Linked DNA regions of Caenorhabditis elegans. The protein of the gene in region 1 purifies or fractionates together with the protein of each later gene. This does not show direct contact. Each region holds a gene or a part of one and is shown in the gene's direction. Other genes may lie near its edges. The genes, in order: tsr-1 and ran-3.

Region 1 (12,288 bases):
GAATAATCTCAGTTTTTGGCAAATTTTTGGCGGAAAAAAACCGATTTTTCCACAATTTTCAACTAATTTCCGCTAAAAATAGCGGGTTCTCTCATTTTTTTTTAAATTGTAAGCCGAAATCCCAAAAAAAAACGATTTTCCCAAGTTTTCAGTAAATTTTCGAATTTTCTGTGCTCAGAAACTGGAATCCCCATGAAATTTCAGTCGGAAATTCGAAGACTAGAGGTTTCTAGCTCAATTTTGAAAATTCTAGCTAGAACCGCGACGCGACCGCAACGCGTGCTGTGAAATTTTGAATTTAACGCTGTCTGTCGAGAAAAAAATCTCGAAAATTGGCATTTTTAGCCAAAAAAAATTGAAATAACCTCGAGGATTTGAGATTTTCTTCAAAAAAATTTAGAAAAAGCTGGTATTTTTAATTCAAAATTCCAAAAAATTCCAATAAATTCCCTAAAACTTCATAAATTTTTGTGACTTGTGTGCTTCTATCATAATTGATGGTTTGAATAGTTGGTATTCTCGGCTGAAACATGCAATAAATACCGTATTCCAGCCAACAATTTGTGCAATAGGGCACATTTGTCACCGGGGATGCGGAAGCTATGCCCAAATTTTCATTTTCCACCCCAAAAACTTGCGATTTTTTCAGAAACTGTGTGGACAACATTTTCGCATTGAATTCTGGCAACTGTCACGTCTGCAACCGGGTCCTTCGAAAAAATAATTTCCGAGAACAAATCTACGAGGATCCACTTATCGATAAGGAGACTTTTCTCCGAAGAAAACTCAGAAAAATCTATAATCTGAAACAGGATGATTTTGAGAATCTTCGAGAGTTTGGAGACTATCAGGAGAGGTAAAATGGCAGAAATCGTCGAATTTTGAGCGAAAAAACGGAAAAAAATGCCTGAAAACTTGAAATTCCAGTGTTTTCAGCTCAATTTTCAGATTCTCCGTGAAATTTCAGCCTGAAAATCGAAAACTAGAACCTTCTAGCTCAACTTTGGAATTTCCAGGGTTACGATAGCGCCAAAAGTACGCAAACACCGACTACAGTACCCCAAAACACCGAATTTCACGCGATTTTCGAATTTTGATCTGAAAATTTAGGAATAGATTAAGAAAATGGCGGAGAATTCGAATATCGTAATGAAAATTTGCAGAAAATTTTTTGAACCGCTGAAATTTCCAGTGAAAATTAAAATTTCGAATTTTAGACGGTTCAAAAATTTTAAGAATTTTTTCTACGAATTTTCGATAAGATATTCGAATTCTCCGTCATTTTCTTGGTCTAATCCTGAATTTTCAGCTCAAAATTCGAAAATCGCGTGAAATTTGGTGTTTTGGGGTACTGTAGACGGTGTTTGCGTACTTTTGGCGCTACCGTAACCCGGGAAATTTCAAAATTGAGCTAGAAACCTCTAGTTTTCAGTTTTCCGACTGAAAGTTTGCGGAGAATTCGAATTTGCGAGATAAAATTGATTTTCAGACAATTTTCAGCTCCGAAATTATAAAAATTTTCAATAATTTCATTTTTTCAGCCCCTCGAATTCAAAATTTCAATTTTTCAGATTCGAGACAGTCGTCTACAACCTCGTATTCGAGACAAACGTCAACGAGACAAATGCCGAAATTCAGGCGTTTGAGGAGAAGCACAAAGAGCAAATCGATCGGAACAAGCGAAGGTACCGCCCGGAGCAACTTTTTATGTGAAAATTCGAATTCTTGAAAATTCCGATTTTTCCAGACTGGATGACGATCAGAAATGGATCGAAGACCAACTTCGTGAGGAGCGAGCGATGAAGGCGAGAATGACGGATCATATGGAGATGGACGCGGTTAGGATTGGGGAAATTGGACGAAAATTAGAAAAAATTCCAGTTTTCGGATGAAAAATCCATAAAAACCCAGCTTATCATCATGATTTTCAGGTTCTCCGTCGAATTTCGGTCAGAACCGCGAAAACTAGAGGTTTCCAGCTCACTTTTGACACTTTGAGGGGTACGGTAGCCCCAAAAGTACGCAAACACCGGCTACAGTACCCCAAAACACCGAATTTCACGTCATTTTCGAATTTTGAGCTGAAAATTGGGTTTTAGACTAAGAAAATGGCGGGGAATTCGAATTTGATAATGAAATTTCAGAATTTTCAATTTCAAATTTGAATTTTCCATAAAAATCTACAAAAACTTTGAGATTTTCCAATTTTTCATTACTTTAAACAGATTTCTTCAAATTTTCGTTTAGAAATTCGAATTCTCCGCTATTTTTTCTGTCTATTCTCAAGTTTTCAGCTTAAAATTCGAAAATTTCGTGAAATTCGGTGTTTGCGTACTTTTGGTGCTACCGTAACCCGCGAAATTTCAAAATTGAGCTAGAAACCTCTAGTTTTTGCAGTTAAGGGTGAAATTTGTGGGGAATTTGATTATGTATAGGGAAATTTGTTAAATTTGAGATTTTTTCCAAAAATTTTGAAATTTTTTCAATTTTTTTTTTTGCAGAAAGAACAAGAAGCCGCCTCCGCAGTCACAGACACCCGGAAAATTATGGACGAACTTCGCGATTCGAATGTGGCGGCCGAAGTAATTCTGGATCGGGAACGTAAAAAGCAAATCGAAAAGGAACTCGAGGAAAAGGAGGAACAGGAGAAACGAAAACGCCGAAATAAGGAGATGTTACAGACGAGAAAACGTGCCGCCGAGAATATGTCGTTTAATACGGTCATTCGTGTTGCCGGAAGGGCTTATGTTCACCAGGTTGGACATGAAAATTCGGAAGAAATCGAAAAAATGCAGCTTTTCCACTCGAAATTTCAGATTTTCAAGTCAATTTTCCGATTCTCCGTGAAAATCCAGTCTTAAATTCGAAAACTAGAGCTCAATTTTGAGTTTTCGAGGGTTACGGTAGTACCCCCGAAACACCCGATTTTATGCGATTTCCGAATTTTGAGCTGAAAATTTAGGAATAGACTAATAAAATGGCGGGGAATTCGAATTTCACAATGAAAATTTGCAGAAAAAGATTTGAACCTCGGAATTTTCGTATTTTTTAAAGAATCCTAGAAAATAGGATCTGGATATCGGAATTTCGAATTTAAAAGCTCAATTTTGAATTCTCCGCAAAATTTCACCCTTAACTGCAAAAACTAGAGGTTTCTAGCTCAATTTTGAAATTTCTTGGGTTACGGTAGCGCCAAAAGTACGCAAACACCGATTACAGTAACCCAAAACACCAGATTTGACGCAATTTTCGAATTTTGAGCTGAAAATTTAGGATTAGACTAATAAAATGACGAGGAATTCGAATTCCACAATGAAAATTTGCAGAGCCGTTCAAATTTCTGCTGGAAATTGAAATTTTGACTTTTAGCCGGTTTAAAAAAAATTTTTAACGAATTTTCGATAAGAAATCCGAATTCTCTGCCATTTAATTAGTCTATTCCTAAATTTTCAGCTCAAAATTCGAAAATCGTGTAAAATCGGGTGTTTTGGGGGTACTGTAGTCGGTGTTTGCGTACTTTTGGCGCTATCGTAACCCGGGAAATTTCAAAATTGAGCTAGAAAGGCCTAGTTTTCGCGGTGTAGTGCAAAATTTTGCGGAGAATTCGAATTTGCTATTGAAAATTGATTTTCAGTCGGAAAAATCTTTAAATTTTTTAAATTTCAATTTTTCAGCCCCTCGAATTGGTTATCAATGGTCCACCAATGCCAAATGTTTCGGAAATCGAGGCTCTCGGCTATCTGGCTCACATTCGACAGCCCACTGCGGTAATTTCCAGCGATTTTCGGCCACATTTCAGCCAAAGATTGGAAAATTTACAGGAATACATTGCCGGCGGCTACACTCCAATGCTCGGATGCTCACGTGCTCTTTTTGAGGCTCGAATCGATTTGTTTTCGTTCTAAATTATTGATTTTTCGGATAATTTTTCGTTGATTTCTGAGCATTTTTGCTCTTTTTTGAGCCGTTTTTTCCCTGAATTTTGGTCATTTTTTGCTCATTTTTGAACATTTTTTGATAGATTGTTCGTCCAATTTTTGTCCTTTTTGGTAGATTTTTTGTTCATTTTTTTTGCTCTTTTGTGAGCTTTTTCTTCTATTTTTTTGCTCTTTTTTGAGCCTATTTAACCTAAATTTCGTCCATTTTCTCTCAATTTTTCCCCTAATTTTTCCCTAGTTTCGGCCTTTTTCAGCTGAATTTTAAGTTTTTTTCTCCCTAATTTTTACCATTTTTTGCTCATTTTGGAGCATTTTTCCCCCGATTTTTGCTCATTTGAGCCTAATTTCCCCTAATTCTGACCATTTTTTTGTAGATTTTCCGTCCATTTTTTGCTCATTTTCGAGCATTTTTCTCCCATTATTTCCCTATTTTTGGCCAGTTTCTCTCAAATTTTGTGCTCTTTTTCCACCCATTTTTTGGTATTTTTTCTGATTTTCTAGGCTTTTTTCTCATAGATTTTCCTCATTTTTTACAAATTAAACGATTTTTCCGTCACTCAAATTTTGTTTCAATTATTTGGATTTTATTGGGTTTTTTAACCAAATTTTATCGATTTTCTCGTCTTTTCCCCAATTTTTTGTTCAAATTCAGCGATTTTTTAACAGTTTTCAGAAGATTTCTCAATTTTTCCTCTAATTTTCAGAACAAAATCACATGGATTCTATGGAAACGGTGTGTCGAGCGATCGACGCATTCTACAGCGGAGGACCCGACGTACAGCCCGCCCAACTTTTTTTGCAGGATTTTCAGGAATCGGTACGCCGGATTTTCGGATTCTACACAAAAAATGAGCCTGAAAATATGAAAACTAGAGCTTTCTAGCTTAATTTTGAATTTTCCCGGGTTACTGTAGCGCCAGAAGTACGCAAACACCGAATTTGAACCGATTTTCGAATTTTGAGCGATTTTTTGTGAAATCTGATTTGAAATTCAATTTTCTTGCCCAATTCTCGTCTTAAACTTCAGTTTTCAACTCAAAATTCAAAAATTTCGTGAAATTCGGTGTTTGCGTACTTTTGGCGCTACCGTAACCCTCGAAAACTCAAATTTGAGCCAGAAACCTCTAGTTTTCGATTTTCCGATTCAAATTTCCTGGGGATTCCGATTTTGACAGTTTCTAAGCACAGAAAATTCGAAAATACACTGAAAACATGGGGAAACCGTTTTTTTTTTTTGGAAATTTCGGATTGAAAAATGTGAGAAACTGATAGTTTTTAGCTAAAATTGGTTAAAAATCGTGGAAAAAATCGGTTTTTTACGAATTTTTTCGGCTAAAAATTTAAAAACTAACACTTTTTTCTGTTTTGAGGAACAAAAATTGAGATTTTTCTGAACTTTTGTCATTTTTTTGGCTCAAAATCTCGGATTTTTCCCAATTTCCAGTGATTTTCTGGCGAAAATCTACTTTTTTAACGCGATTTTCACAGATTTTCACTCAAAAATGTCGATTTTTCCAATTTTTGCCATATTTTCGAGTCTGGGAAATTCCAGATTTTTTGACAATTTTCCGACTTTTTCAAGGAAAACCCCTCGATTTTCTGATTTTTTTTAAATGAAAATCTCAATTTTTGGGCTAAAAAATGGCAAAATTTCAGATTTTTCTTGAATTTTCAGCTAAAATTTCGAAAATCTCGTGAAATTCGGTGTTTGTTTCGAAAAATCCTCGAGAATGCTCTAAATTTCGAGATTTCTATTTAAAATTCGAATTCTCCGTTCAATTTGAGCTTTCAAACTGGAAACTAGAGGTTTCTAGCTCAATTTTGAAATTTCTAGCCGAAACCGCGACGCGTGCTGTTAAATTTTCGAATTTAACGCTGATCAGGCTGGTTTGGAGGAGAGAATCGCAAAAAATCGGAAAATTTCACTATTTTTTCCGCCAAAAATTGAGATAGCCTTAAAATTCGAACATTTCATCGAAAAAATTTAGAAAAATTGGCATTTTTTAATTCGAAATTTCAAAAAATCTGGAATTTCTGTGACTTGTGTACTTCTATCCTAATTGATGGTTTGAATAGTTGGTATTCTCGGCTGAAACATGCAATAAATACCGTATTCCAGCCAACAATTTGTGCAATAGAGCACATTTGTCACCGGGGATGCGGAAGCTATGCCCAAATTTTCATTTTTCACTCAAAAAACTTGTGAAAATTAGCAAATTTGGTAAGAAATGAAGTTTCTGATAAAAATTTTAACTTCAACTTGACAAAAAAAACAGAAAGTCTTAAAATTCGCAAAAAATCTGAAAATTTGGTCCAAAATTTTCTGAAATTTCAATATTCTCGGTATTTTGAGTTCCAGAATTGAATTCCTCATAAAATTTGGCTTCGATACTCGAAAACTAGAAGCTTTTAGCTTCATTTTGAAATTTCTAGATAAAACCGCGACGCGACCGCAACGCATGCTATGAAATTTTCGAATTGAAGCATAAACAGAGAGAGATTTGAAGGAAAAATTGCATTTTTAGCCGAAAAATTGAGATAACATTAGAGTTTAAGATTTTTCATCGAAAAATTCGGAAATATTTGGATTTTTCTACCCAAAATTTGAAAAATTGTCTTAAAAAAATTCCTAAATTTCTGTGACTTGTGTGCTTCTATCCTAATTGATGGTTTGAATAGTTGGTATTCTCGGCTGAAACATGCAATAAATACCGTATTCCAGCCAACAATTTGTGCAATAGAGCACATTTGTCACCGGGGATGCGGAAGCTATGCCCAAATTTTCATTTTTCACTCAAAAACTTGCAATTTTTTCCATTTTTTCAAATTTTTTTGCAGTCGCCACGGAGCATCCGCTCATGATGCTCAATCAGAAGCCACATCTACACAGTTATGCCTTGCCATAGCCGACTTGTACATTCAGGTGCCGACGTGGAATAATTGGATTTTTGAGCTGTTGAATCAGTGCGTAATTTTGAGAGAAATGCCTGGAAAAACCTGAAATTTCCAGATGCCAAGCCCTCGAAGGCGACCGTACCGTAATGACACTGACTCTGCTTCAAGTATTTCCTGAAGAAGTCGAACAAATCCGTGGAGTTGGCGAGAATCGGCGGCACGCGATACGAAATGAGCTCGCCGCTTGTGAGCAACCGATGATCACTTTCTTGTCGCATGTGCTCGAAAAGTTTCATTCGAATGCGGATGTTCTCAAGAGAGTACGCACTTTAACCTCCATTATCGAAAACCGGAAGTCGCTAGCTTTTAAGCCGAAAAAATTTGAAAAAAATCGGCTAAAAATCCGATTTCTCTCCGACCTAGACGATTTTCATGCTCAAATTCGAATTCTCCGTTAAATTTGGCTCTTAAATTTGAAAACTAGAGCTCTTTAGTTCAATTTTGAGTTCTCGGGGGTTACGGTAGTGCCAAAAGTACGCAAACACCGGCTACAGTACCCCCAAAACACCCGATTTTACGGGATTTGCGAATTTTGAGCTGAAAATTCATGGGTAGACTAAGAAAACAGCGGGGAATTCGAATTTTAAATTAAAAACCTGCGAAAATTATTATGAGATATCGAAAATTAACAAAATTTCGAAATAATCCTTGTAAATACTCTTAATTTCGACGTTTCTATTCAAAATTCGAATTCCTCACAAAATTTCAGTTGGGAAACCGAAAACTAGAGGCTTCTAGCTCAATTTCGAGCTTTCGAGGGTTACGGTAGCCCAAAAAGTACGCAAACACCGACTACAGTACCCCCAAAACACCCGATTTGACGGGATTTTCGAATTTTGGCCTGAAAATTCAGGGATAGACTAAGAAAATAGCGGGGACTTCGAATTCAATTATGAAAACTCTGAGAAAAAATTTTTGAAGTACTGAAAATTAATTTTTTCGGAAAATTTTTCGACTTTTGGATTTTAAAACTAATGGTTTGGCTGAAATTCTATTATTTTCGGATTCCCCGCACAATTTCAGGCTAAATGTCGAAAACTAGAGCTTTCTAGGACAAGTCTGAAATTTCCCGGGTTACTGTAGCGCCAAAAGTACACAAACACCGATTACAGTACCCCCAAACACCGAATTTTACCCGATTTTTGAATTTTGAGCTGAAAATTCATGGATTGACTAAGAAAATGGCGGGGGATTCAAATTTCCGCATAAAAATTTCGAGAAAAATTTTTGAACTAGTAAAAATTCGAATTTTTGCTGAAATTTGGAGGTTAAAAGATTTTCCAGCAAATTTTTGATAAAATATTCAAGCTCCCTGTCATTCAATTAGTCTATCTTTAAATTTTCAACTCAAAATTCGAAAATCCCGTTAAATCGGGTGTTTCCGGGGGTACTGTAGTCGGTGTTTGCGTACTTTTGGCGCTACCGTAACCCTCGAAAACTCAAAATTGAGCTAGAAACCTCTAGTTTTCGAGTTTCTGGCCCAAATTTTACAGAGAATTCGGTTTTGAAGTCGGAAATTTGAAAATTGAGTTGAAAGAAAAATTTTCAGCACAAAAAAAAATTAAAAATTTTTTTTTTTGAAATTTCAAAAATTTTTCCCTTAAATTTAAAGATAACTTGCAGGTCTTCAAATGCTTAGAATCGAACCTACAAAACCATCAAATGCGTACAGATCACTTTGCCGCGTCACCACTAATTTCCATGATTTTCCACGTGATCGCCTCGATCGACCCGATAATTCCGTCATGTCTCCATGAAACTGCGACAAATTGCATTGTACAGGCACTTTATCGTGTTGAAGACCTAGAAATGCACAGAAAACTCGCAGAAGTTGTGCATCGCGGAGTCATTTCACTGGTTTCGGCTTTTGAGAAAGCTCAGCAAGTGGAGGATTTTGATCGGCTTCAGGTAGCGGAAAAATGGAGAAATTTGGTGGATTTTGAGCTGAAAAATTGAGAAAATCGATAAATTTCGGCCCGGGAAATGTGAGAAATCGATTTTCGGCGGAAAAATCCATAAAAAATCAATTTTTCCCCAGAAAAAATCAATAAATTATCGATTTTTCAGAATATTGCTCGTATATTTGTTGAGATGGTCGAATCCTTCTATGTGCAAATCGTCAACGAAGCGAATCCGGATCCGGCGGCAATCGGGAGCCTGGCATGCTTTGAGCTTCTGCTCCTAGTCGCTAAGCACCATGATTGGGCTGTAAGTTGACTAAAATTCGATTATTTTCAGATTCCCCACAAAATTTCAGCCTAGACACCGAAAACTAGAGCTCACTAGCTCAATTTTGAAGTCTCGGAGGTTACGGTAGCTCCATGAGTACGCAAACACCGACTACAGTACCCGAAAACACCAGATTTTACGCGATTTTCGAATTTTGAGCTGAAATTTTAGGATTAGTCTAAGAAAGCAGCGGGGAATTCGAATTTTATATTAAAAACCGGCCAAAATTATTACGAGACATCGAAAATTGGCAAAAATTCGAGAAATCCAACAAAATGCTTAAAATTTTTGAATTTTCATCTCAAATTCGATTTCCCCATAAAATTTCAGTCTGAACCGCGAAAACTAGAACTTTCTAGCTTTGTTTTGAAATTTCCTGGGGTACGGTAGCGCCAAAAGTACGCAAACACCATCTTCAGTACCCCCAAAACACCAGATTTTACGCGATTTTCGAATTTTGAGCTGAAAATTTAGGATTAGACTAATAAAACAGCGGGGAATCCGATTTTGGCACGGATTTTCAGATAAAATTTCATTTTCAAGCTAAAAATCGCAATTTTCTTGCTGCAGCTCATCGAGATGTCATTCAATGTGTGGTACCGTATCACCGAAGAGCTCTTCAAATATGACGATGATCAATATATTGGCCGCTTCCGTCCGTACGCTGAGAAATTCATTCAATGCCTCTACGAACACTGTAAACTTGACGCCGATGACGTCGATGATCTACTCGATGAAACTTCAGAATTTGGAGAATTCCGCCTGAAAGCCGTCGAAGCTCTACGTGATGTTGTATTCATTGTGAACTCGGATAAATGTATTCAAATGATGCATCAGAAGCTTATCGAGTGCTGTCATAAGCCCAACGCCTCGTGGGAAGAGTCGGAATCGGCGCTTTTTGTGATGTCTGCAGTGGTTCAGAACCTACTGCCGTATGTTTTTTTTTAAAGGGAAATTCCAGAAAATCTGAGATTTCCCGGGCTTTTTTTGACATGTTTTGGCCTTTAAAACATGCAGTTTTTCGAGTTTTCACTGAATCCCGAAAAACCCCGATTTTTGGCCGAAAAAATGCAAAAATCTGCTGAAAATCACGAAAAAACTGGATTTTTAGTAGGCGAAAAATTTACAAAAAACACTTTTTTACCAGAAAATTGGAACTTTTTGACCGAAAAACAGTAAAAATTGCCAATTTAGTCGAAATAATTATTTTTTGGACGAAAAAATTATGAAAATCGATGAAAATTCAGAAAAAACCGGGAAATTTCGTGAAAAATGGAGATTTTAGTTGAAAATTTTCAAAAAAAAAATTTTTTGTTCGAAAAAAACTGTGTGTTCAAAATTGGCTGAACAACAATTTTCAATTTTCTGGGTATTTTGAGTTCCAGAATTGAATTCCTCATAAAATTTGGCTTCGATACTCGAAAACTAGAAGCTTTTAGCTTCATTTTGAAATTTCTAGCTGAAACCGCGACGCGACCGCAACGCGTGTGCTATGAAATTTTCGAATTTAAGCCTAAACAGAGAGAGATTTGTAGGAAAAATCACATTTTTAGTCCGAAAATTGAGATAACATTAGAATTTAAGATTTTTCATCGAAAAATTCAAAAAAATTTGGATTTTTCTACCCAAAGTTTGAAAAATTGTCTAAAAAAATTTCAAAAAATCCCCAAAATCCGAAATTTCTGTGACTTGTGTGCTTCTATCCTAATTGATGGTTTGAATAGTTGGTATTCTCGGCTGAAACATGCAATAAATACCGTATTCCAGCCAACAATTCGGTGCAATAGGGCACATTTGTCACCGGGGATGCGGAAGCTATGCCCAAATTTTCATTTTTCACTGAAAAAAATTGTTTTAAAAATTCAAATTTTTCAGGGAATCCGACACAAATATGCCCGAAGTGCTCCAGCTCATTTGCTCATTGCCTGTCCAATCACCGCCTGCACTGATTGCCACTTCATTGTCTCTAATTTCGGATTTGAATGATTGGTTCGAGCAGCACAGCAATTTATTGGGTAAATTCTGGGAAAAAATGTGGAAAATTTGAATAAAAATGTTTTTTTTTGCAGAGCCCGTCGTCCGATGGACACTTCAGTTTGCGACGGATACTCGATACGCGAGCCACGTGGCTCTCTGCTTTGATCGAGTGGGTTTTTAAGTTTTTAGAGGTGAAATTCGAATTCCCCGCGAAATTTCCGCCAGAAACCCGAAAACTAGAGGTTTCTAGCTCAATTTTGAGTTTTCGAAGGTTACGGTAGCGCCAGAAGTACGCAAACACCGACTACAGTACCCCCAAAACACCCGATTTTACGGGATTTTCGAATTTTGAGCTGAAAATTCATGGATAGACTAAAGAAATGGCGAGGAATTCGAATTTGATAATGAAAATTTCGAGAAAAATTTTTAAGCTGAACAAAAATCGATAATTGTCTAAAATTCTTGGATTGAAACTCAAAAATTCAGAGTTTTTGTGCCAAATTCGAATTCCTCGCAAAATGTGGACTTAGAAATTAAAAACTAGAGGTTTTTAGCTCAATTTTGAAATTTCGAGGGGTACTGTAGCCCCATGCGTACGCAAACACCGACTACAGTACCCCCAAAACACCCGATTTTACGGGATTTTTGAATTTTGCGCTGAAAATGCAGGGCTAGAATAAAGGAATGACGGAGAATTCGAATTTCACAATGAAAATTCCGAGAAAATTTTTTGAACTAATGAAAATTCCGAATTCTCGGAAATTTTTGGACCTAAACTCGGAAGTCGGCAGTTTCAGTGACAAATTCGAGTTTTCCGCAAAATTTTGGCTTCGCGGCGGAAAACTAAAGGTTTCTAGCTCAATTTTGAAATTTCGAGGGTTACGGTAGCGCCAAAAGTACGCAAACACCGACTACAGTACCCCCAAAACACCCGATTTTACGGGATTTTCGAATTTTGAGCTGAAAATTTAAGGAGAGACTAAACAAATGGTGAGGAATTCGAATTTCACAATGAAAATGTGCAGAAAAATTTTTGAAAAAAAATTTTTTTTCCAGATCACCTCAAAATGCGCTGTCCAAATGACTCCACTTCTCCCACAACTGCTCACACTCATCGGAGTACTGGAACAGACGACAACGAACGGAGCAAAAGTCGAAGAGGCGATTTGCTCACTGACACGGGCCATTT
Region 2 (12,280 bases), 5.9 Mb from region 1:
TTGATGGTTCTGTGGTAGTCAGTGCACAAACATCTCCACATGCAAAAACATTAGGAAGTGAGGTTTCGCAAGCGTCGTTGACTTTAATTCCACTATTTTCAGTGATTTGGAGCATTTTATTCATAGCCCAGACTTCTGAGTTGGCAGTTACACCTCCTGCCCAAATAAAAATATCTGGATTGAGCTGGTTATCTGCCTTAATAAAATAACTAGGCTTAATGGTACGATAACTTAAAATGATACCATCTTTTCTTTATCCATGTAATGTACCGACAAATTTTGGGACGTATCGGTGCTTGTTATAACACAATTACGCAAGATAGTCACCGATCGGTTTTCAGATTTTTCCGAAATTTTCTGAAAGTCTATTTGAGAACACCAGTCGGGACCCAACGCTGGTCCAGAAGGGTTGTTCATATTTTCAGAGACAGATTCAGAAGCAGCTACATGTTGAAGATGTTTTTGTTGTCCGTCATGCTTATTACCTGAAGTTTCAGATGAGCACGCAATACATGAAATCTCGAGAACGAACCATCTATCCGTCCCTTCAGCAATCGTTTTTCAATGAATTGTTCGATGTCTTCCGGAAAGAACGAAGCACAGATCCAAGGATCTTTGATCAGCCATGTCACGTCGAACGTTTTAAGCTCAAAGATCAATTCAGTAGCAATTCCCCCGTTTCCGACAATTAGAATATTTTTTGCATTTTTTAGTTTAGTCTTCAATTGAATCGCGCTCTGTGTATCTCGTAAGAACACTATCCTGCGATCAATTCCCAACTCTTTTTGGAATTTAGGACGAGATCCGGTAGCAATGCACAGTTTATCGTATTTCAGTTTCTCATTGTTTTGCAGATGAATTTCATTTTTTGAAGAATCCCACGTAACCACTGTGTCATTCAAGAATCGAATTCTACTATCTGGGAAGAGCTCGTGGCAATTTGTCTCTTTTACGTCAAATTTCTCTCCGTACTGCCCGATCTGAAAATTTCCATATAATTATTAAACTTAAATGTTTTCATCAACTTACTTTTTGATAGTTCTCCACAGACTTCACGAAACTTGACGCGGAGATTATAATTACTTCCAAGTTCGCTGATCTTTCTAACTGAAGCATTTGACTGGCGCACGAAACTCCAGCAATTCCACCACCAACAATTATATATTTCATGCTAAATATGTTCCAGTTAACTTGAAAACCAAGTTACCCTCAATTTATTCGCAGGATACGAATTACTCGAGAAATATATCGAGAACATTGTTCTCCGTGGAGCGGCCTTGCAAAACTGCGTGCGCGCATTGCAAATTTCAAAAGTAGCTCCGCCTCCTCACAAAATTCATTCGTTTTTGTAAACATCTATTTATTTTTTTAAATTTAAGTAACTTCTTTTTAATCATTCTTCTTTAATCTTTTTTTAAAATACCTTTTGCGCATTTGCGCACACCCGTTGCATTTCTTCTATCGGTATCTTCTCAGAACATGGTGTCTCTCCAAGTTTTTCATCTCTTGTTACTCTCCTAAACTTAACCTTGACAGGAAATTGTTACCTTCATCAACTTTCGATATTATTCTTTTGTTTTCAGAAATGTCAACTGCGGAGCAAAGAATGGACACCTCAGAGGTAGAACTCCCGAACGATAATGTAAACGAACAAGGAAATAAGGTTGGTTTCGTAAATCAACAATTTCGTCATATTTATTGATTTTCAGACACCACGAGCTGATCAGCCAGAGTCGAGTGCTTCGGGTGCTCGAAATCACGGAGAAGACGAAGAGGTTACCGAACAAGTTGAACTTGCTGCCATGGAAACTGAAGCATCAGACTCTATCGTCGACAATGTTCCCAAAACTCCCCGGAGAGCTGGACGCCCAAAAAAATTACCATCTACTTCTACTGCTGCCGCAGAGTCTGCTGTAACTCCAGGCAAAAGAGGTAGAAAACGTAAGGGTAGTGAATCAGTAAACACCACTATTAATAGTACGATGAACTCGACCCTTAATGAGCCTAAAACTCCAGGACGGAAACAAGGTTTGTTGGTTTTTCAAATATATTTTCTGAAACAACAACATAAAAATAATTTTTCAGCTAAGTTGGTTGCACCACTTCTAACTTATGACCTGTTCGCTCCTTCTATTATTGGCGATCGAGTTTTGTCGTGCGGAGAAGGAGAAGCTCTGGGTCACCCAGGAAGAACCACCACAAAAAAGCCACGGAAAGTTGATATTTTTGAAGAAGAAGGTTTAAAACCACTTCAAGCCGTCGCAGGAGGAGTTCACTCAGCAGTACTTACCTCTGAGGGTGAAGTTTATATGTGCGGTATCAACGAAAAGGGAACTGTTCCCGCGGAAGGTGTAGAGAAGGAAGGAAGTACCGACGAGTTTGCGAAAGTAAAGTTCGAGGAAGATATCGAGAAGGAAGGAAAGGTTTGTATGCTGTCTTATTATTGTTTCTATTCAAATATTATTTCAGATTGTAATGCTAGCCGCTGGAGCCTCGTTTACCGCTGCTCTCACTGATCAAGGATCTGTAATTGCCTGGGGAAATCTTCGCAACTCCAATGGAAACGTTGATGTTCATCCACTCCTTCATAAGATGCAAGAAGCGCCGGTGGTTATTGTCCACCAAGCTAAACGTAAAATTGTGAAGATCGCAGCTGGCGAGAACCATCTCGTGATGTTGGATGAGAAGGGCTGCCTTCTCACGTTCGGTGATGGAGAAATGGGACAGTTAGGACGCAGTAGTCGTACCAAAACTATTCGTTCAAGTGAGATTTTTCATAAGTTTGTTTGGTTTATGAATTAATGTTTCAAAATACATCACAGATTACTTTTATTTCAGAGTACATGTGCGATGAATCTGGTGATCATTTACTCGTGCCCCTCAGATTTAAGCATAAAGGAAAGTTCTTTGACGTTGTTGCTAAAAACGTGTTCGCCAGTGGATTTTGGACTATTGTCCACGGAGAAGACGGAAAATACTACGCCTTCGGACTCAATAACTATGCTCAACTCGGTATCAAAGTTGACGAAGCTGATGTCGGACAAGACGGACAGGACAACCGCGAGCTTCGGGTTTTTCTTCCAGCAGAAGCCCCAGCTTTTGGAGCAGAAAGAACATTCGTTAATATCGAAGGAGTCCAGCATGTCGTCATTCTCGGAAGTGATGGAAAAGTGTTTGCTATGGGAAAGAACACAGACAATGCTCTCGGCCTCGGTAATTGGACTGGAAAGGACGACCAACAGCATTGGTTGTACGATACAATCCAGGAAATAGAATTCGATTCGAAGATCGTTGGTGTTTCTGCCAAACTAGCCACTTCTATCGCCTGGTCTGAGGATGGAACCGCCTACGCTTGGGGTTTTGATACTACCGGACAACTTGGTCTCGGATTGAAAGACGAAGACGAGAAGGTAATTTTTCAAAACTCAAACTATCAATAAATAAAATATTCAATCTTATTTTCCAGATGGTGTCCAAGCCAGAGGAGATCAGCTCCGCCCATCTTGACGGTTATTCGATTATCGGGGCTTCGATTTCCGATCAGCACACTTTGATTATTGCCAAGAAAAATTAAATTATTTGGTTTTATTCTCAACTTTTATATCAGTTTTGTTTTGTCTCTGTAGCATTATTTTGTTATTTTTTCGTTTCCCGGTAGCCAATTCGATTGTTCTCCAGTAACATTCTCATCAATTTTTCTGTTTTTTTTATCATTTCATTTTTGTCAAGTAGCATCAGTCATGTAAGAAAGGGATAGAGTTCCCTTCTGTGAAAATGGAGAATTGTTGAAACGTCGTTGCACAACGACGTTTAAACACTTCACTCTATCCCTGGATTGATTTCCAACTTCTATGTTTTCTCAAAACCCCCTATTAGTTCTGCTATATATTGGAATCCAAAAATTTTTCATTTTTAGCCTGAGTTATGTTGTTCTCTTATCATGTGAACTCACTGTTTTATAATCCGTTTCACCATTTATGGTAAACGTTTCCTGGAAGGACAAATAAATCAATGGGTATCTGTGAAACAATGTACACTCTTGGTTTCGTTTTTTTTTTCAATTTTCAGAGAGCTTCTAATATTTGCTATTTACCCACTTATGTTGTTTCCTTTGCTCATTATACGAGTCGATTTGAATGCAAATAGGCTCCTAATCCACCTCCAATTTTCCCTTTATTTTTTGGAATTTTGAGCTACATCTCCAAAACTCCCTCATAGATATCTCAATTCTCTAGTACAACAACGGCTTTGAAAGCGAGTCTAATTGGGTGCCGGAAGGGACCGCCCTTCTCGGATCATGCTCGGAGCAAAAACCTCCAAAGATGAGTACACGTCGTCTTTTGACCCAGATTCTAAATATATATTCAAATTGTCTTCAGTATGAAAAATTGGATACATTTGCGTAACTTCAACACTTTATTATGCGAAATCTAATGGCTCATTGAATTATTGGTAGTTGTTTTGCAACCTTTATGCTATTATATAGGCATCTAAAGATGAGCATTTTTCGCCATAGCTTACATAAGTGCACGGGTTTTGACACGTGGACACCGAGTTACTGTAACTCAATATTGCACCATGTTTTATTAAGAAACCATGAGATCATGAGAATGCCTACTGTTTTTGGCGCGGGAATATCTCGTAGCGAAGGCACCTAATTCTCTCGTCGCCTCTTAAAATAAAAATTTAGTGCAGTAAATGCCTGTATGTTAGCTACCGTTTGACCTTTTTAAAATTTTCAGAATATGCTTGCTGGTACAAACTATTCTAATAAACAATAATTTCGAAAAAAAGCGACTAATTTCTTCTTGACTGAAAATTATCTGATATCTATCTAATTTCTTTGGTTGTTTTGACACAACTGACAACATTATAATAGTAGCTATAAAGAATCCAAAATCCTTTTCTCTTTTGTTATTGCAACAACTTGATTTGAAAATTTGTCTGATGACGTTGTCAGTCAGATTCTCATTAAGTTGGCTTCTGTGCTCGACTTTCAGGAAATTGAAATCTCATCTCTGTATTTCTTTGTTTGCACGTTTTGTTTTGGACCTTTGCTACCCTTTTCACTATTTTCTATCAATTTTCCTCTTTTAATTTCATCAATCTTTTTGCTCGTTGTGCTTGATTCATTTGGCACCCACATTTCTTCCAATTCCCATTTATGTCATCCAAATCACTTCCCAACTACGATAGGACGTCAGACGACGTGGATGCATCGAAAGAAGTCGTCGATACTCCAATTCAAACAATCAGTTCTTCACATGTTTCTTTCCAAATAACTACTGATCCAGTACCATCGGTTTGTGATTTTTTTTAGTATTTTGCATGCTCACATGATATTTCCAATAAAACCAAATAACTTTGAAGTTAACGAAAAGGTGTAAAAATTTTAAGCCTTCACCGATATTTTTAGCATTTTCTTTTCACTGAATGCTACCTATAGTTGAATTTTCGAACGTAATAAAATAACACATGTTTTGTGAATTCTGTGTGGTGCATTCGATTTTTGGTTTTTGTGGTTTTGTGTCTCAGTTTTCAAAACTAACTTTCTGAACTTGTAACACAAGTCCTAGTATGCTCTTTACGTAATCTTGCTCTTCTATAAACATTTTACTTCATAGCAAAAATTTAATACAGAACATGTTTTGATAACGTTGTTTCACCTGCATCTATTATTTTGTAAATAATTTCTAGTTTTCAAGGATTTTTCAATGCAGAAGCTCTAGCTAATTTTTTTTGCAAGTATTTCTCTCAAAGCATAATATACGGGCTCAGAAATCGATTTCCAAAAAAAGAAAACGAATTTAATGTTTGAGATATACCTTAGATTTCAGTATTGTAGTGCACTTACTATTTTATTCAAATGTACTGTAAGGCTGTGAATGTGACGGCTTACATTACAGTTCAATTTCAAATGTTTTATCTTAGTGAAAGCCTTCAACTTTCAGAATATATATCTTCTGAAAGCTTGCAGTTAACAATCTAGAAATCTATTACGGGAATATTAAACTGGAACTTTTGGAAAAACTGAATAAAATGTAGATTTTCTGGGATAACAGTCTCTTTGAAAATGCATTCTTTTTTTTGACAAGGTGTTCAGACAGTCAATTAAGATTAAAAAAAAATCACGAATTTTATTGAACTTCCTTAGGTTATCGCTTTGAAATTTGCTGTATGTAAGTGTGCTGTAGGTAGGTACGGTAGAAATAATTTTAACCCTAACTGATCGTCAAATTGCAACTCTTTTCATAACATTTCAAACAAACTCTCTTCGAATTTTCACTCAAATGCTAAACATCTTTCTGGAACTCTGAAATCCATAATATTATTTTCAGATGGATTATCTTTCAATTCATGAAGATGACACATCAATGTCTTCATCAGAACGTACAATCGAAAGGGGATTCTCAAGATATGGGAGAAAAAGGTATGCTAATTTAAAGATATCTTTGCAAACGTTATTGTTTTTCTGTTATGGGTTGTGAGTAATCTTCTTCTTTTCTTCATAACTATGCCATTTATGCTCTTGTATATGCTTTTCCTCCAAAATGTCTCAATGTGTTTTCTTTGTTTCCTTCCGTCCATTTCCCTTTTCTCACTGATCCACCGTTATTTTTTCCGCGTTGTCCACCCACAAACACATATTCGAAACACATCTAAAAAACGGCAAAAAAAGAAAGGAAAAGAGTAGATAATCCCGTTTTTGACACACGAGAAGTCTCCTTGTGTGACACCCGAGACATTGTCAAAAGTTGGAATTAAAGTGGACGACGTCGTCGACAAGAGAGCAGCACGATGCTCCTTTCCGCACCTTTCCTTTGTTTAATTAAAGTGCTTTTGCAGAGATGAAGCACAAAAGTTGCCACTTTGCATCAAGTTAACATTTTTTCACGTATCAGTTGCTTGCACTTTAGTTTTTTTGCCTCCAAAGTAATTGAAACTTCCAATGCTATTTTAACAGTTTGGTTGACCAAGTTGTGATTTCTGAAATTCACAATAAAAGCTTCGATTTTTTTAAACTCTTTTTTTCATTGTTCAAGCCTAGTATTTTGAGAAAACCCTACACATTGCAGATGTTTTTTTTTTCGGCTGAAAACAGACAGTTGCAATAGGAACGCCATTTCATTAGGCTCAGAAGTTTTGACACAAATATTTTCCAATTTCCGTCGTCTCCGTTAGCAGTTATATATATTTTTTCAATATTCTTGTTACCTAGAGAAATTTTCAGCCTTACTTAACATTATTATATGCTTTATTTTTTCTTATTGTTGTAATGTAATTTGTAGAAAAAATATTTCAAAGTTCAGAGGAAGTTTTTCGGAAAGCCATAATCTTTTCAACAAGTTTTTGCTAACTTTCAAAATTGCGAAAAACCCTCATTAGTTTCATTTAATTCAAGTCTGAATTTAACTCTACATCTAACATATTTGTATAAATTAAAAATAATTGAATTGAAATTTTTTTTTCCAGATCATCGGTCCGGATGCTACTCGACGAGGTCAATATGACTGATCGGAAAACAGTAAGTTTTTTTTTAGTATTAACGTCATATTAATTTTTAAAAAAGTACGGTATAGATTTTTGTGTTGATCCAGAAAAAAAGCATTTTCGAATATCTCTAGCAAGTCCTTGGTAAATTTGTTTAAAATTCCAAAAGCTCCAAGATTTGATTTGATTGCTCAAATCGAAAAAAAATCCAATTGACCTTTATTTCTTTTTCTATAAATACTTTAATGCTTTTTATCTCTCTATCTTATTCTCTTCTCAATTGATTGCTGTGATGACAATCAATTGTGTTGAGTTGTATCATCTGTGTCTTCCAATGTATGTGTAACATCACAAAAACACCAATCAACGACAAGTGTGTGTATATCTGTTTGTGCTCGAATATACTTGATAAAATACTCGCTACTGAAAATAAAAATGGTGAATCTGCAACGGAAGGAGGTAAGACGAGGTGATAAATCAGATCGAAATGGGCTTTTTGTTTTGTCTTTCCGGTGAGGAAAGGGGAATAGAAGAGCGTGACTTTTCCTTTTCTTTCTTCTACCAGAACATCTTCTTAGACGTCTTCAAGATGCACCGGCTTCTTTGAATTTTTTTGAAAAATGATCCTGTGAGCGGTCTGATACATTTACATTTCGATGCTCTTTTCCATTTTTCTTATTTCTTCGTTTTATGCATTTTCTTTGTCGGGTAAAAAGGAAAAAAGGCAACCTTTTGACACTTTCGATGATGTTGTGCGGCTTCTTCCATTCATTGAAACTCGCCTTTCCATTTTAGAAATTGACTTTTGCGGGGCTCCGGCATTGAAGATTTCCGCATACTTTTTATAGGTTTGGATGCACTTTTGGAAAATCCTGTTCTTTGATGTTGTTGAGTGACTTTCAGACATTCAGTGCGTGCTGTAATTTTATTATTTGCCGATCACACAAAATTTTAGTAATTATCAGATTTAATGTGTTCTTTTGCTTGAAGATTTGATTGTGGAAAATATCTAGAATTTTCAAAGCCACTTGTAAATTCACTTGACTTTAACCTAACTTCTCAATAATCTGAGAAAATTCTGTTCGAATATGTACAATTTATAATCCATATGCAAATGATGTTTTCTATCTTTAAACGGCGGAGGAACTCTTTCCAAATACTTTTCTTTGATTCCATCTATGTCACTCAAAACTCAAAACTAAAACTCCCATAACTCTCAAAACTACTTCAATTCAATTCTTCCCTCTCCATTTTTATTATTTGGCACCCTCGAAACTCTTTATTCTTTTAAAAACTATAAGTGTGTCTCTATTTTATTCATATAAGTTTTCAATGTTTTTATTCTTTTGAAGACTTTCCTTTTTCATGTGACTTTCTATTGTAAAATTCAGCGAAATGGATCCAGCTCTGCTTGCATTTTTCAAACCTGCCGAAATGGCGAGTCCCCAGAGGAGAGAGGTTAGTTTGTTGGGAATTAAATTTTGAAACTAAACTATGAAATATGGGTCTCCCAGTATTTTTTGTCATATATATACTTGAAATATTTCCATTCAATTGTTTTTTCCATATCTGCAAATACTCCATTCATCATTTCTCGCGTTCAAATTTTTCCAAAAATTTCATCCCATTTATTTTGCCATTCTCCTTTTGAAGCTTTCTTCCAAAAAAAAATTTACTGGTGCAGGGGTCTTAACCTCAATTTTTCAACCACCTCGCACATCCTACTATTTTCTTCGATTACAGCTCACCGAGCCTTCCAATTCAATTGTCTAAACTAAGCAAGTCTAACCTATCTCTCTTTTAACGAAACTTCTTTTAAATATCTAAATTCATGTCTTTCTCCTCTTGTTTTACTTACAAAATTCAAGTTTAAAAAAAGCAGTCCAATAATGTAATAAATGTTTTTACAACTAAATCCAATTAAAAACTAGGTTTAAAAATTAACTTTTTTCGTAATAAGGTAATAAGGTACTAGAAAAAATAATATTAAGCATTTTGCATTCATTCAAAAAGTCTTTTGAAATTAGTATTTTATTAAGTAAACAATTTCAAAAAGAGTTTTAGACTCAATTGATTCCAAACCTAAACAACTTTTTTTGAAAAGTATGAAATTCCTACATACCAATTCCGTTTTGTTTCTCTTTTTCAAAATTTATATTGTTTTCGAGACAAAAGCGTCTTAGAAAAAGAGCTTGTAAAATAATTTATCGTCCTTTATTTTGTTGTTTTCTTACCCGCACACGCGGGAGACCAGTTCAGAGTCTTATCTGGAATTAGTTAAAGATTATTTCATGAACTTCTAACTCTTTCCCTTTTTTCCACTTCACTGTTCCATTTCACTTTCTATGGCGAAAAAAACTCTTTAAAGTGAAGACATTTTTTCAAAATTACAGCTTTTAAAATTAGATGTAAATACAAACTACGTGTTTTGAGCAAAGTTTCTTAAATTGGATCACTTTTATTTTCAATTTTCTGATTCATAATCGTCGTTTCTCCAGTTTCTTTCATTTTCTTGTGTTATAGACCAATCATTTTCTTTCTTTTTCTCAACATTTCCTTTGTACATTGTCTCAAACATTTTTGAGTTATTCTTTTACACTTTCAAATATGTTGCAGTTTTCGGCGTAGAAATATTCAAAGAACACAATTTTCTACATTGACAGCTTGAGTCGCTATTTTTTTTTGGAATATTTTTAAATTTATACAAACAAATTTAAAATAATGATTATTTTAAAAAGACGAACCGTTTTATAACCGTCGGAGTATGTTTCAGTGGTTTTAAAGGAAATCCCAGTAAATATCATATTTTTAAGACTATGAAAATTTTCAGAAAATCTGAAAAATCAAACATATTTTTAGATTTTTTCAAGATACCGAAAAGGTAATATCCGGATTTTATTTTCAAAAATCTATTTCTTTCAGTTTAAACTTCAATTTCTACTAGTCAATATTCCTGTCGTGGCTAGAAAATTTACTTCGACTGGAAATGTCCAAAAACACTATAAACACCCAGAATTGGTGTAGCTTTTACAAATTTCCGTCGTTTTTTTTAGGTCAAAATTTTCCAAGCAAATTTTTTTTGCGTTAATAGTTTTGGTCAATGCACTTTCATGTATGAACAAGCACAGAAACCTTCTATCTCTTAAGCACGCCCAATTTCACCTCATAAAAAAGCTATTACTGTTGATTTATGAGTTTTCCATCTCTGTCGCCAGGTAACGGAGATCGACTCATATTTTCATCACTTTTTCATCAAAAACCAATGGACGAAAAACATGAAAAATGACTTTTTTCTCCTTCAGGACCGCTCAGTGTTCCAGGGGTCCTTTCCACCAATTTTCTACTCTTTTTGGTGATCTTAATATGTTATTTCCTTTTTCCTTCATGTCTTTATAATAGCTTCCTTTACTCCAATTCAGAGTTGCAGTATTCCAAGTATATAGAATGGCGGGCGATATTCACCCAAAAAAGGTGCTGCTTAAAACAAAGGTAAGTGTAACTATTCTAGGTTTTCAAGTCAAGTGTTCTTCAATGTGAAAATTTTTATATTCTATTGTGAAAAAAAATCGACTCATTAATTTTCTATGTACGTTTTTAAAAGGGTGTATATATTATACTTTCCGTTGAATTTATTCAATATACAAATTGATTTTGCATACTATTTAAAAACAAGCTGATTGAAGTTTTGAAGTTTTGAGATATGTCAAGCTTCTTGTAGATTGAAAATGATTCGAATTGTTTTAATTTGAAAACTGAAAAATATCTCAAAGGCCTATAGAAAATTGTTTCTCTGGTTTCGTTCCACATGATTCCTCTACCAGCATTCTGAAACTTGTAAAATCTGTGTGATACCACTCGAAAGTTACCAAAGTTCTTGTTTTCTCCTACTTTTGTCACGTCATCCGATACGGGGCATGTTCTTGTGTCACTGATGCTCCTGAAACATGATCCCTCATCTACTCCCAACTAACCAGTCTGCACTTTCTTGATCTGTAACCGAAGCTTGCTTTTCCTCTTCTAACTGGCCATCTTTTCTATTCTTTTGCTGCTCTACAAGATCCCATTAGACATCCCTTCAAATGTCATAAGAGGCTTTTGCTAACCGGGGTGTCATCAAGATTTCCTCAAAAGAGAACCCATTTTGGGTGGTGTTAATGGGACACCACAACGTTCTACATTTCAATTTCTTTGCCGGGTTCTCGTTTAGTACCGCGGTTCTTTTTTGTGGCACCCATTTTTGGGAGCAACAAGGGGAATTAGTATTTTTGCTCTTTTGTTCAAAGAGAGTGAAAGAGAAAGGAAAGAAGAGCTTTAGTGCCCTCTCTTCCTCCAAAAACGGAGAAGCTCCTGCTTCGTCCCTGGTCCTGGACGCTATCATTTCTAAAGTGGACTCTCTTCGAGAAACATGCGCGCTTCGATTTATCGGAGGGCTCGAGAGAATTCGAATGAAACATCATTGGTAAGTATTTTTGATCCCTTTTTTTCGATACAGTTCTGTTTTCAAATACCGTTCTTTTTGTAATTGTTTCAGCTGAATAATGTACGTTTTGTGTTAGTGAAACCGGTTGACAAACTAAAATAAATGTTAAAATTTGAAGCTGTGGATATTTCTTAAAAATATCTCAGCTGCTAGTTTTAATTTAGTTTTCACATTCCAGGCTATCCTATTTTTGTTTTGAATTCTGAAATATACGTTCGATCAACTAACTTTTCTCAAATTGCAAGCCCATTAAATCCCGTCTACTCTCCATTTATATGGCTATCTTTTCAGGAACACATCTGTGGAACT

Evidence for each region.
Region 2: the proteins of tsr-1 (region 1) and ran-3 fractionate together in Caenorhabditis elegans (co-fractionation; one large-scale study listed by BioGRID). This does not show direct contact.

What each region holds. Positions count from the first base shown.
Region 1 is NC_003280.10:2,465,725-2,478,012, reverse strand, and holds the start of tsr-1 (Xpo1 domain-containing protein), read left to right. Parts: upstream 1-4,642; 5' UTR 4,643-4,755; intron 4,756-6,776; 5' UTR 6,777-6,902; intron 6,903-6,948; 5' UTR 6,949-6,979; coding exon 6,980-7,153; intron 7,154-8,516; coding exon 8,517-8,801; intron 8,802-8,960; coding exon 8,961-9,101; intron 9,102-9,692; coding exon 9,693-10,054; intron 10,055-10,997; coding exon 10,998-11,137; intron 11,138-11,191; coding exon 11,192-11,268; intron 11,269-11,596; exon of another isoform or gene 11,597-11,669; intron 11,670-12,155; coding exon 12,156-12,288. Other genes in the region: mnat-1 (CDK-activating kinase assembly factor MAT1), read left to right, coding at 650-856, 1,572-1,685, 1,748-1,838, 2,502-2,756, 3,675-3,767, 3,822-3,905.
Region 2 is NC_003280.10:8,314,356-8,326,635, reverse strand, and holds ran-3 (Regulator of chromosome condensation), read left to right. Parts: upstream 1-1,583; 5' UTR 1,584-1,585; coding exon 1,586-1,663; intron 1,664-1,709; coding exon 1,710-2,028; intron 2,029-2,085; coding exon 2,086-2,423; intron 2,424-2,469; coding exon 2,470-2,764; intron 2,765-2,838; coding exon 2,839-3,410; intron 3,411-3,466; coding exon 3,467-3,574; 3' UTR 3,575-4,024; downstream 4,025-12,280. Other genes in the region: C26D10.3 (Pyridine nucleotide-disulfide oxidoreductase domain-containing protein 1), read right to left, coding at 1-196, 244-485, 533-980, 1,030-1,170; shw-1 (BTB domain-containing protein), read left to right, coding at 5,165-5,302, 6,339-6,430, 7,474-7,525.